Linked DNA regions of Drosophila melanogaster. Changing the gene in region 2 together with the main gene of any one other region gives a genetic interaction. Each region holds a gene or a part of one and is shown on either strand. Other genes may lie near its edges. The genes, in order: Culd and Arr1.

Region 1 (6,520 bases), on a different chromosome or scaffold from region 2:
CAAAAAAATTGAACAATTTTTTCTTAAATTTATAACCTATGAATGCAAAGTAGAGATATTAACTTTTAGGCAAGTACCTTAATAATTACGTCGTCACGACGAAATATTAAATATTACAAAGTAAAGATAAGGGATTACTTTTGAAACACGGTGTATTTTAATTTCCATCCATCAATATCGACCCACCCTATCCCAGGCTGATCAAAGTTTACTTTGCTTTGACCAGTTGTCAGTTTATTATCGTCATACATATAAGTTTCGCCTGTATCGCCTGTGCTTAGGACCCCAAAACCCATAAGATATCCATGGATAATGAAAGGATGTCCGCCGTGAGCGAGGTGAATACCCCAATACCGCAGCATTCAGACACAAATCCATTTTTCATGTAGCTAATAAGATTCCCATCCTGCCCTTCAAGCACTCAAGTGTGGTATGCTCTCCCGAACAGATGGCCCAGAAGATCAAAGCCGGTCCCGTTGTGGATGTCCTCGGTGACGAGATGACCCGCATCATTTGGGACTCCATTAAGAGCCAACTGATTCTGCCCTTCCTGGACATTGAGCTGCATACCTACGATCTTGGTATTGAGAACCGCGATAAAACCGAGGACCAGGTCACCATTGACTGTGCTGAGGCCATCAAGAAGTACAACGTGGGCATCAAGTGCGCCACAATCACTCCCGACGAGAAGCGCGTAGAGGAGTTCAACCTGAAGAAGATGTGGAAGTCGCCCAACGGTACCATCCGTAACATCTTGGGAGGAACCGTCTTCCGTGAGGCAATCATCTGCAAGAACGTGCCCCGTCTGGTGACTGGCTGGCAGAAGCCTATTGTGATCGGTCGCCATGCCCACGCCGATCAGTACAAGGCCGTCGACTACGTGGTTCCCGGACCCGGCAAGCTGACCCTCACCTGGAAGGGAACCGACGGTCAGGTGATCGATGAGGTCATTAATGACTTCAAGGGCCCCGGTATTGCCCTGGGAATGTTCAACACGGACGATTCCATTGTGGACTTTGCCCACGCCTCTTTCAAATATGCTCTGGACCGCAAGCTGCCGCTGTACATGAGCACCAAGAACACCATTCTGAAGAAGTACGATGGACGCTTCAAGGACATATTCGAGGACCTGTACAACAAGCAGTACAAGAAGGAGTACGAGGCGGCGGGCATCTGGTATGAACACCGTCTCATCGACGATATGGTTGCTTATGCCATGAAGTCGGAGGGTGGCTTCGTGTGGGCCTGCAAGAACTACGACGGTGATGTGCAGTCGGACTCCGTTGCCCAGGGCTACGGATCTCTGGGTCTGATGACCTCCGTGCTGCTATGCCCCGATGGCAAGACCGTGGAGGCTGAAGCCGCTCACGGAACGGTGACGCGTCACTTCCGCTTCTACCAGCAGGGCAAGGAGACCTCCACCAACCCCATTGCCTCGATATTCGCCTGGACCCGTGGCCTGCTGCATCGTGCCAAGCTGGACAACAATGAGCCACTGAAGCAGTTCGCCGACACCCTTGAGCAGGTGTGCATCGACACAATTGAGAGCGGCGCCATGACCAAGGATCTGGCCATCTGCATTAAAGGCAACATCAACGCCGTTACTCGCAGGGACTACCAGGAGACTTTTGAGTTCATTAACACGCTGGCCAAGAACCTGGAGGGTGCCCTGGCCAAGAATGCCGTTGCTGCCAAATGACTATCCGGCACTCAGTCCGAGCAGCAGGCCTCGCATCTCTAGAAAACTACTCAGCGATGCCTTGTCCTCGTCACCATATTCACAATATTTCCATTCGTTTTTGTAGATGTGCATGTCCTAGGCTAAAAATCCGTGTCCTCGATGCATGTTTCCCACTGTTTCATTGTCTCTGCGAGACGCAAAAAAAAACCCTGATTTCCCTTTAACGTCTAACGGAAAAGAAATTTCAAATAAATGTATTTTTATACCGGACTCGAGAGGTCTTTAACCCAGTCGAGGGTGGGCTCGTTACGAGGCCCGGTCCACTTGTGCGGCTTCTGATGGCTCTGGGTTTATTGGATTTGCCAGCGAAATGGCCACAGTTGTGTTCTAACACTTGGCGGCACCAGACCGAGACGGTTCAAGCGGAAGGGGCTCAGGATCCTGTTAGAAGGACGAAACTATCGATGCTAGCCGAAGCATTGGGCTATGGCTACCTGCTGGCCTACGTGATCTGCCTGCTCTGCTGGCCAGGAGAGGCGTATCCCGCCAGCAGTAGCTACCGGGATCTGGATATATGCAATCATTGGGACGGAAGACGTCACTTCCTGGAACTGGGAAGTCCAGCTGGAGAGGTGCACGCCAGGAATGTGACTACTACTGCCTATAGAGTAAGTGTATTTACAAGCTTCTCCAGACGGGATTTGGTCAGCAATTATGAACTTAAAAACAGAGCTCGCCGCTGGTTTTTAAGAACGATGCAGTGGCCGGGGATGTGTGGTACCAGTGCAGCCTGGAGCTGGTCACCTGTGCCGAGTGCGTCATCCGAGTGGCCTTCACCTATGCCAACTTCTCCAAAAGTTGCGGCAATACGGGTGGCAAGTCCAGCATGTGTCCCTGCGAGCATATCCAGTTCTCGGAGCCGCCCTATGATTCCACCATTTCCGGCCAAGAGTTCTGTGGAGATGGCAAGGTGTTTCGGAGCAAAACCAGGACACTGCAGTTGAAATTCTTCTACAGAGCCAGCAATGCGCACGTGTTCTCCCTTCAATACTTCTCGGAACGTAAGATTTAGAATCAGTTGGTAGGTTTTTAAGAATGCTCTATCCGGATTTCCCTCGGAATAGGCAACGTGCGGATAGTCAGTGGCTCCCCCAAGCAGTCTATTGTGGGCAATGGGAGTACAAAGTCCCAGCCACAAGTGATCTCCACGCCGTATTTCCCGATGGCATATCCACGCGACTATGGTATCGAACACATCCTCACCTGCGAGGCGGACAACTGCCAGGTGCGTTTGGATTTTACCGACTTCCAGCTGGGCCTCACCTCCACCCTAGAGATCTTCGACTCCAATGGCCAGATGCTGGACTCCTATACGGGTGAGCACTTCCGTCCGCCGATCACGGTGAGCAGCGGCAAGTCTCTGCTCCTGCAGTTTCGAGGAAATTCCGCCACCGGAGTGGGTTTTCGCGCGGAGGTTAGCTTCGTATCCTCCAAGCAGCTCAAGGACGAGCGACTGGTGCCCTACACAGGTAAGTGAATGGGTTGCAGTGCACTGAACAAAAACTAAGACTATCAAACAACTCAGATCTAAGGTTAAAACACAAATATTCCGCAGGATTAAAAAATTCGAGGTTTTTAAAAGTATAGAACATTATGCTTATCTTCATTTTAGAACTCGCAGATTGATTAACTTTTTAAATGGATTAGTATATCTTTTCTCTGTAGGAATAGGGACATTTTAATGATTTTCGGATTAGTCGAGCACTTGAAAGTCTGCAGGCAATTGTCATATTGATTTTGGCGAAGGTAGTGGGTGGGGTGGGCACTTGGCGAATATCAATGTCAATGCAAGGCGTTGAAGTGGAAACTGGGTGACTCTGGTTGGGTTCGGTTTGGTAAGACAATCGATTTCTTGGATCATTGCCCGTAGGGTGGTTGGCAAATACTTGTATATAATCCGGAATGGGGTTGGTTATGCACTATTGCGACAGGTTGGATCACAATGCATGATGCAAGAGCACATAAATAAATGCTTATGTACATATCTCTATTACACCTCTAGATTGCGGGGGAATGGTTACCGGACCTGGTGGCGCCATCACCATGATGAACATGATCGAAAATGCCACGGACGTGCGGCTGTTTGACTGCATCTGGATTATAAAGCCCGGCAACAACTACATGATGATGAAAACCCACATCTCGTTGAGAGTGGATGACTTCTACGGCATGGCCGCCAGATCTGAGCTCACAATACGGCAGGGCACCACCTCGGATGCCGTGGAGATCGAGAATGTGATGTGGCCGAACAATGGGCTGAGCAAGGAGAGTCATGTGGCGCCCATCCTCAATGGCTACTACATTCGACTGCGTGGGGTATTCGGGATGTCCTCCAAGCTGGCCATCGTCTACAGCGTGTTCAACTACTTGAGTGAGTTCGATTGGAAAATTTAAATTTAATGTTTAATTAACCAATTCGAATTGCTTAGATTGCTATATTGGCTCGGAGTTTCTGTGCGGGAACAATCACTGCATATCCATTCGCCTCCACTGCGATGGCTTCGACCATTGTGGGGATGGCAGCGATGAGCCGGATTCCTGCGAGGAGGACTGGGCACACCTGCATCACGATCGTCGCTGGTACTCTCACAAGCCCAACTATTATTTCCCCAAGATAGACCAGTATCCAGATCTTAAGACGGCCACGGGAATCTTTATCATCAGCACACTTGGCATATTTGGTGTGCTGTCCGGCTGGATGGTGATCCTGTACAGGATGGGGGTTAGAGCACGACACCAACGTGAGCTTCAAAGCCACCTGCAGACGATCAGTGAGCTGTTGGATCGCCAGGACGAGGATCGCACGCCCGATGAGCCACCCAGCTACGAGGCACCACCCGATTACGAGGAGGTCATCAAGGTAGGAATGCAACAGGAGCTACGGGAGCCACGTCGCCAGAGACGGGCCCGTCGAGCTCCGCCTAGAGATCGGAGCTGCAGTCGCGCCGCAAGCAATTGCACCGTGCAATCGGTACTCCCACTGCATCGCAGCTGCACCCTGGAAAGGGATCAAGAACAGCCCAGTACCTCGGCGGCGGCAATGACCCATGCGGTGGCTGCCACGGATACAACGGAGGATGCCGAACACGTCCAGACGATGGCCCAGCGAATGCTCCTCGCCACGGCTATTTGTGGTAGGTCGAGAGTTCCCCCAATCCCGCCCTGCAGTCGCTAACTTACCCACAGAGTCCCACTTGCAGGCACTGCAGGCACGTCTCTCCCGGCAGCAAAGGAGTCAGGGCAGCGGGTCCAATCCGTGGGGATTTCAACGAGCCCGTCATCGTTATCCGCTGGGGGTGAACTACCCACAGCAGGTGGGTCAGCCACAACGCCCGGCAGCACGGCAGATGAGTGCACCCAGGGAGGCGACTCACTTAGCATTTCACTCACTCTAGGCTTGCCCTCCACCACGGCAGAGAGTCCTGTGACAACCGACCAGAACCAATTGCAGAAACAAAGTCCGGAGCAGACAATCAGCAATTGCACGGAGCACACCTTCCTAAAGAGATCGTGGTTGGTGGTGCAACAGGTTCCACCTGGCAGGGGTTACCGTGTCCGGAGGCTGCGACATACCTTCTCCTCTCCTGAAGCATTCACTAGCGATGAGCTGCATCTGCCGTACCCGGATTTCCTGAGCTACGGCACTAATCTTCCACATGAACGGAGCAGTAGTAATTTCGGATCCGAGTTGTCGAGGGACCCATCGAGTTATAGTGTGGGCAAACGAGCTCGCTTGACGCCCGAGGACACAAGTGGATCGGAGACCATTACCCAGGAGATGGAGCAATCCAACCAGACACTCCAGTCCCATGTGATAGTGGAAAGTCACCCGAATCACAGCGAAAGTGAGAGCGAAGCGGAGCAGCAGGTGTCCTGCTTTGGAGCCGTAGCCCAGCGGCCCAAGAGGCGTCATCGGGGTCATGTGAGGAGCCGATCCTTTAGCAATGCCAGAGGTGGCAGTGCCGGAAGGAGGCGTCTCATGCAGCGCAGCTCGTCGGCCGATCTTTTGATGAACTACGCGACAATGGCGGTATCGACGCCACAAAAAACGAGCGAGGCAATGCAGCGATTGTTCTTCATCTGAGCGGGAGATTCAAAATGGAAGAGTGGACAAGTGGAACGATAGTATTAAAGCCTGGTGTGATTCTGGTCGGATTCTAGTCACATATAAATAAATAAGCCTGTTTCTTACTCGAATGTTATTAGCTTATTGAAATTCTTAATAAATAATTAACTTCAACTTCATCAAGACTTATCCAAAAGGTCGCAACGTTTGTATTCTTTATAATATGTACCATACCGCAAAAAGAAATGAATAATTACATTATGAATTAGCATTTTTTGTTAATTTATTTATTTATAGCCGTTATACGTGTAGCATTTGCCAGAGCAGATCAATATGTGCCCCAGATCAGATCACAAAAAACAACAACGAACATCCATCGCCCAAGATTCACTTCAACCCACTAATTGATCCGGGGCACATCCTGACCAGCACTGACTTTCGGGTGCCTCAAAGTGCAAAATAATAAAAATCTATTACTCGCGTATATATGGAAATCAAAATGCACGTTTTTATATGTATATATAGACGAATATGATAAATAATACCAGACGTAGTCAATGCCGTAGGTCTGCCTGCTATCCAGATCCTCCTACGTTGTAGCTGTATCGTTTCCTACTGCTGCAGCTGTTGCTTGAGATTCTCGGCTAGCGTTTTGCCAGTGTCCAGGGGCACTACTATATTGCGCAGACTATCGATGCTGTTGCGCAGCTTGG
Region 2 (5,729 bases):
CTCTCGATAAACATAGGGTCCAAGTTGCGCGAAAATAGGTTTTACTCCATTAGCCTGCACATCTGCGGCATTTGTCCAGTTCCAAAGATACATGTAGACATACACCGGAATGGGCAGCTCCTCCCATTTTTCAAAAGTCTTTGAAGTGGGTGTCAACGGCAAGGCCTTTTTAATAAATCGATTAGTACTCCTCCTTAATTTTATTTTTATACACCGCCTCTCACCTTCATAATCCCTGAGTCTATAAAGCCAGGCCAGCATATTATGGCCAGGAGTCCGGAGACCGCGAAAAAGGTTCCCAGGCCGAAGACCCAGGCCTTTTGTTGGGTCACCCCACAGCAGCTGCAGCACATATTGAGAGACGAAACAAAGGCTTTCGAGCGACTGCAAAGTGGAAAAATATCGCTCGAGTTTTTATTCATGCGTCGCTTAGTAGATTATCCACTAGTAAATAAAGCAGCGGCTAATCATCATGTCTACTGTGGTAATCAGCTCGGTTTGGTTTGCTCAACTTATTCTGTGGGGTGATTGGGATCTAAGTGTGTGTTTAGAGTACCAAAAATCCTGATAAATGCAAAACGCTGCACTTAGTTTATTGAGAGTGCTGGCTAATCAGCCAGACTAGCAGTAGTAGCTATTTCATGCTGCCACGTACCAAATACCACTTGGTAACTAAATCAAATTTAACGATACATGGTACAATTTTATTTATAATAGTATATAAAAGTAATTAGGTACATTTTTATTTTAGGAATTAAGTTTCGTTTATCAGTTCTTAAGTTTTTAATAGCATGCCAGAGTGCTTCCTAATTCGCATTATAAATTAACTTGAAGCTAGTTGATTAAACTATTAATACGGTCAACTATTTTTGCCTTGACGCTCGCCCATCTTATCGGTTATATAGCATGTATGCTTAAATTAGTATTTGCAATGCAATTTTTATGGTCAGCCACTATAAAAGATCACTTCCAAAGACGGCAATCTAATCTTCCTTAATGAAATTCGATTAATCCCATTACGCAAAACCATTTTAAACTCATTACCCACCTGGTCTGCCGAAATGTTGGCAGCGTGATTGATCAGTATTTCAACCCTGACTATTGGAAAATTTTGATTAGAGTGGCGTTATCGTTAATATTGGGTGCTTATTAAAAGTGGGACTGCAAACATTCACAAATTAAATGGATGCGTTTGAAGTGTGTTCGCTTAAATTTTACGATTTCAAAGTCCAGCAAGAAGCTCACCATATTATATCAATTATTGTCCATTTTCCTTACTCGAATTCAGTTCAGTAAACTTCCTCCAGCATAGTGGCCAAGTATTAATTAGGCTGCTCCTCGGCTTTTCAGAGTAGCAATAATTGGAATTACTAAGCCACAAATGCAAGACCCACTATTAGTAATTGAATAGATTGCACTGGCTTCTGTTGATTTCCCCATTGCACTTCAATGTACATAATCAGCAGACATTGCAAGATATCAAATACTACGAAATGCCTTCGTAAGCACATTATTAAATATTTAGTGCGCATTCCATACAAACTTTCAATGCTGGAGCCTTTTCAAATACACCGTGCTAAATTCAATAGAATACTCCAAAATACATACATAAACTCTGTTCATATTTAATTGTTAGTTGAGTTATAAATATAATACACATACACACATACAATATATGGATATTGGATTTGCTATATAGGAAAAGTACGACGACTGCAGTTCAGAACATTTCAGCAACATCAGCATTTTTTAGGATCTACAAAAATCGGTTTGACTTGTAGAAATACGCCATTTTTTTCGTTGGTTGAGGTAGCCCTTTCAGTTTAGGCCTCAATGGAGCCCTCGGCTTCCAGTTGGGCCTTGCGACTTGGCTGTAAATAATTGATTGCCTTTCAATAACTATTCAAATATTTGGGCACACCTTTTATTACCTTCGGGTGCATCAGAATAAATGGTAGCTCAGCGCAGAGCTCGCCGCCCAGGGCTCCCAAGAAAAGCTTGACCTTCACAGCATATGAAACAATTATGCCAAAGGCATCCCTCGCATCCTGACTGGCAATACTGAAATAGAATTTTAAATATGCATTTTTCACTTAGTATTAGTATGCGTTTTATGCCATTTTGTAAACACATTTAGCTAAAGAACTGTTAGTCACCGGGAAAATACGATTTTTAAAAAGGTTCCTAACTTTAAAATTTGATTGATTTTATGGTATGATTTTAAGTTGATACTTAATAGAGTATAATATTAATGTTTCATCTGCTAAGCTATGATGTGAATAAATTTTACTCACAGTGTGGTCGAGGCCAGAGCTGTGTCTTTGCGCTTGATATCACCCTCAACGGCGATGCCTGCGCGGTCGCAATTGGCCACCAGGGTGGGCACCAGATACATGACCTTCTGCAGGCTGGATCCCGGGTTCAGGGGACATCCCTCGCTCGTCTCCATGAAGGCGATCGTGTTGCGGAACTGACCGTTCTGGAACAGGACCACATCGACGCCCTGCTGCACCATGGCCTTGATCTTCTTCACCACCTTGTTGGAGTTGTTGCGCACGCAGATGTTCACCGAGATCTTCTCGCCGTGATGGTACAGCTGCTTGTCGAGGGTGACCTCCAGTTCGAGCTCTCCGGGCGACAGAAGGAAGTCCTTGCGAACGACGGTGCAGGGCTGGATGCCCTGCTTGGTCGGTGCGTACTGCACCTTGCGGATGCCCAGGTTAATGGTGCTCCTGCGATGCGATCGATCGCAGTCGCTGTCTCCGGTAAAGATCTTTACGAAGTACTGGACTCCGCAGGGCTGGCTCTCGTCACTGGCCTTCTGCTGGAGAACCACCGAGGCCGGCGAGCTTGGTGGCATCTGCATCACGAAGGGATAGGCATTGGAGCCAAGCTTCTTCAGCAGACGCTCCTGCATCTTGGTCAACTGGATGTCCTGCTTCTGGGGTGGGCACACCTGCTGCGAGACCAGGGTCAGTTCCTTCTGGAACCGCAGACCGATCATCTCGTCGTCCTCGCGCCCATATCGGAAATTGCAGACCAACTGCACGAAGATCTTGCGGTTCTGGCGCACGTACTCATCGTCCAGCACAATGATTCCATCTGCAAGAGGACGCTTATTAATTGGAGAATATTATTTACAAGCGCCCAGCCTCTTGGTTTGCTTGCTCGCGTAATCGATGAACTTGGTTAGCTGCTAGCGCAGCCAATTTAACTTAACTCCCTGGGCTATTGAATTCAGATGCAATTTTGAATAACTCCCTGAGTTTATATTTGCTGGTCGGCATATGCAGATTCGAAATGGAGTTTTTATAATATAATTTTGATTTGATATCACTTTTCAAGGAAGGTATTAAAAATTCCAATGTGTTAAGTTGAAACAAAAGTTACACTGAAGTTATTTTCAAACTATAAGATACTTCAATCGAATATGGGTACCAATTCCTACACGAATTTATTTTTTGATGGATTTCCTCATTCGTAAATCCCATTGCTCAAGGGTTTCGGTCTGTGACACCTACCAATGGGTTCCACCTGAGTCACGGAATCTACAAAATCACGCCTGTTCATGTAGAGCGTGATCATGTTGTTCGGGGAACACTTCTTGAACACCTTGAAATTGACCACCATTTTGGAGCTGTTTATCAAAATCTCTGCGGAAATAGTTTAAACTTTGGATGTGCCTTTAACGTTTCGCGCTCGTTCTCGATGGTATACGCCGCGTTGCGTGGTCCACTAGGCTATTAATTAGCGCTCTTTGGCAATCCGGCATTTATACCTGGCATTGTGGCACCTGTCGCCCCTCTAAATTCAATTAGCCGCACAGCAGAAATTCAGCAATTGCACGGCGGTAAACTACTACGGCTTCGGCAACCTTGCTGTGCGCAGTGTCTTTGATATTGACATTGCAGCACGACATCGACATCGATGGCTCAAACATTAAATAACGCGCGAGCAACACGGCGTATTAGCAATGCAGGACAGGTGAATGTACAGAAATAGCTCGAGAAATCGATTTAGTATGCGTATTTTGGTTTGTTGTTTTCCGCCTAGGATGACGTATTTAAACCCAAACATTACGTGGTGGGTTTTGTTCTTTTCCATTTACGTAATTGTTGTTAATTTAATTGAGCCCTAAGCACTCGTCGGCTAAGTACTGATAAGCGGTTGTTTATTATGACATTTATAATAGCTTTATGTTAACTGGAGACAACTACTAGTTATAACAACGAGGTACTTAATAAATTCCAAGTATTCCAAGTATTTGCTTCGGAATTTTCAAAATAATTGGTGAAGGATCCCATTTCAAGCTAGATGTAATAATATTCTTCTTTGAATTATATTAAACATTTAAATCAATTTTTCCCAACGAATCTAGACGTTATGTGTATATATATAATGACACATAAGAACTTAAGCTTTACCAGTAACTGTCAGTTGAAGGACCTGCACATTCAATTATGTAAAAATATTCTATGCAAAGCTGCTGGCCCTCTCACCATTTGCCATTTCCATTTTGTGCTATGAAATCACATTAGCATAAAGTAGGCTACTTAACAAAGTCAATGAACGTAATAATTATACTCCTGACATTAAAAATATGAACAAAGTTGTGTGAAATATATTGTTCTTTATTGTGTGGTTGGGGACCGGACAGTCGAGCAAGTGGGGCGGAGTTTTCCACCAACTACATCCCCCCTTTTCGTGTGTGAAAATGTGGCGGGAAAGTGCGGGAAAGTGTCGGCGGACAGTCGCCAAGGGTCCAACAAAACCGACAATGAGGCCCTTAATAATAGCAAAACTTTTGCACTCACGACGTGTGGGCCAGTAGGAAAACGGCGCTGGTTATGGGCATGTCTCTCATTTAAATACATTACAAGTGAACTTTCCGGGAGGCATGGCCACGGTGTTGTCCTGAAAAATGGCAATATGTTACTAAATGAGGTGTTCTTAAGATTCTGTTAGAAAAGCGTTCAGAGTTTTTACATTCAATCCGTCTATAGGTCTAAACTCATATCAGAAATATGAGCACTTGTCTTAAAAGAGGACATTTTTTCTAGAAATACAATGCAAAGCTATATTATTGAGTGCATGGCTGACCTTCTAAGGACTTCTTTAAAGTGCAACGCGTTTAAAGCAAAAACTATTTAAGCTTTGTTTTTATCACACGGATACTTTGAAAACCCATCACCATCTCAAATTCATATGTGGTCTGTTGAACCATCCTTTATATGGCAGATTATAGCAATACAATAAAATTGCAAACGACCACAAAAGGTTGACTTTATTATTTGTGCGCAATTGAGCTAGCTGTGGGTGGTATTGACCCATTTTCGAGAGTACCTCTTCAGACTTCTACAATTTCCGGATTCCCCTTAAAGCAGGAGCGATTTAAAAAGCCACGGAAGCAGTTTGCCACCATTCTTCTCTTTCAGTCCACTCGAGAGCTAATTTGGGCAATTCAATTGCCTAACCAAGGCGAGACAAAGTCGACGGCCAAATTGCATTGCACAATCAGCGCGATTGCCATGGACCAAACTGCGGAGTTTGGCCAAGAGCCCAGAACAGGCACCGAATGCAGTGCAATTGTCGTTTGGCAAAATCGACGGCCAACTGGAGCCAGACTTTTGGCCACAATCAGACTGCAAAGAAAAACGATAAGCTTAAAACTGTACCTCTATAAAATAGGTTAAAAAACAGTTTTATTTTTTAAGTCATGAAAATTTTAC

What was found.
Region 1: of Arr1 (region 2) and Culd, changing one suppresses a phenotype caused by changing the other (phenotypic suppression), as found in Drosophila melanogaster (one study listed by BioGRID).

What each region holds. Positions count from the first base shown.
Region 1 is NT_037436.4:8,351,834-8,358,353, reverse strand, and holds Culd (CUB and LDLa domain), read left to right. Parts: upstream 1-2,057; 5' UTR 2,058-2,145; coding exon 2,146-2,349; intron 2,350-2,411; coding exon 2,412-2,742; coding exon of another isoform or gene 2,743-2,753; exon of another isoform or gene 2,754-2,805; coding exon 2,806-3,210; intron 3,211-3,743; coding exon 3,744-4,112; exon of another isoform or gene 4,113-4,170; coding exon 4,171-4,875; coding exon of another isoform or gene 4,876-4,916; exon of another isoform or gene 4,917-4,927; coding exon of another isoform or gene 4,928-4,941; coding exon 4,942-5,825; 3' UTR 5,826-5,999; downstream 6,000-6,520. Other genes in the region: Idh (isocitrate dehydrogenase), read left to right, coding at 282-338, 419-1,699; GAPcenA (GTPase activating protein and centrosome-associated), read right to left, coding at 6,420-6,520.
Region 2 is NT_033779.5:18,076,289-18,082,017, reverse strand, and holds Arr1 (arrestin 1), read right to left. Parts: upstream 3,750-5,729; 5' UTR 3,631-3,749; coding exon 3,522-3,630; intron 3,370-3,521; exon of another isoform or gene 3,288-3,369; coding exon of another isoform or gene 3,221-3,287; intron 3,103-3,220; coding exon 2,295-3,102; intron 2,062-2,294; coding exon 1,932-2,061; intron 1,872-1,931; coding exon 1,824-1,871; 3' UTR 711-1,823; downstream 1-710. Other genes in the region: ninaD (neither inactivation nor afterpotential D), read right to left, coding at 1-165, 225-353. UniProt on the Drosophila melanogaster protein: Regulates photoreceptor cell deactivation. Arr1 and Arr2 proteins are mediators of rhodopsin inactivation and are essential for the termination of the phototransduction cascade.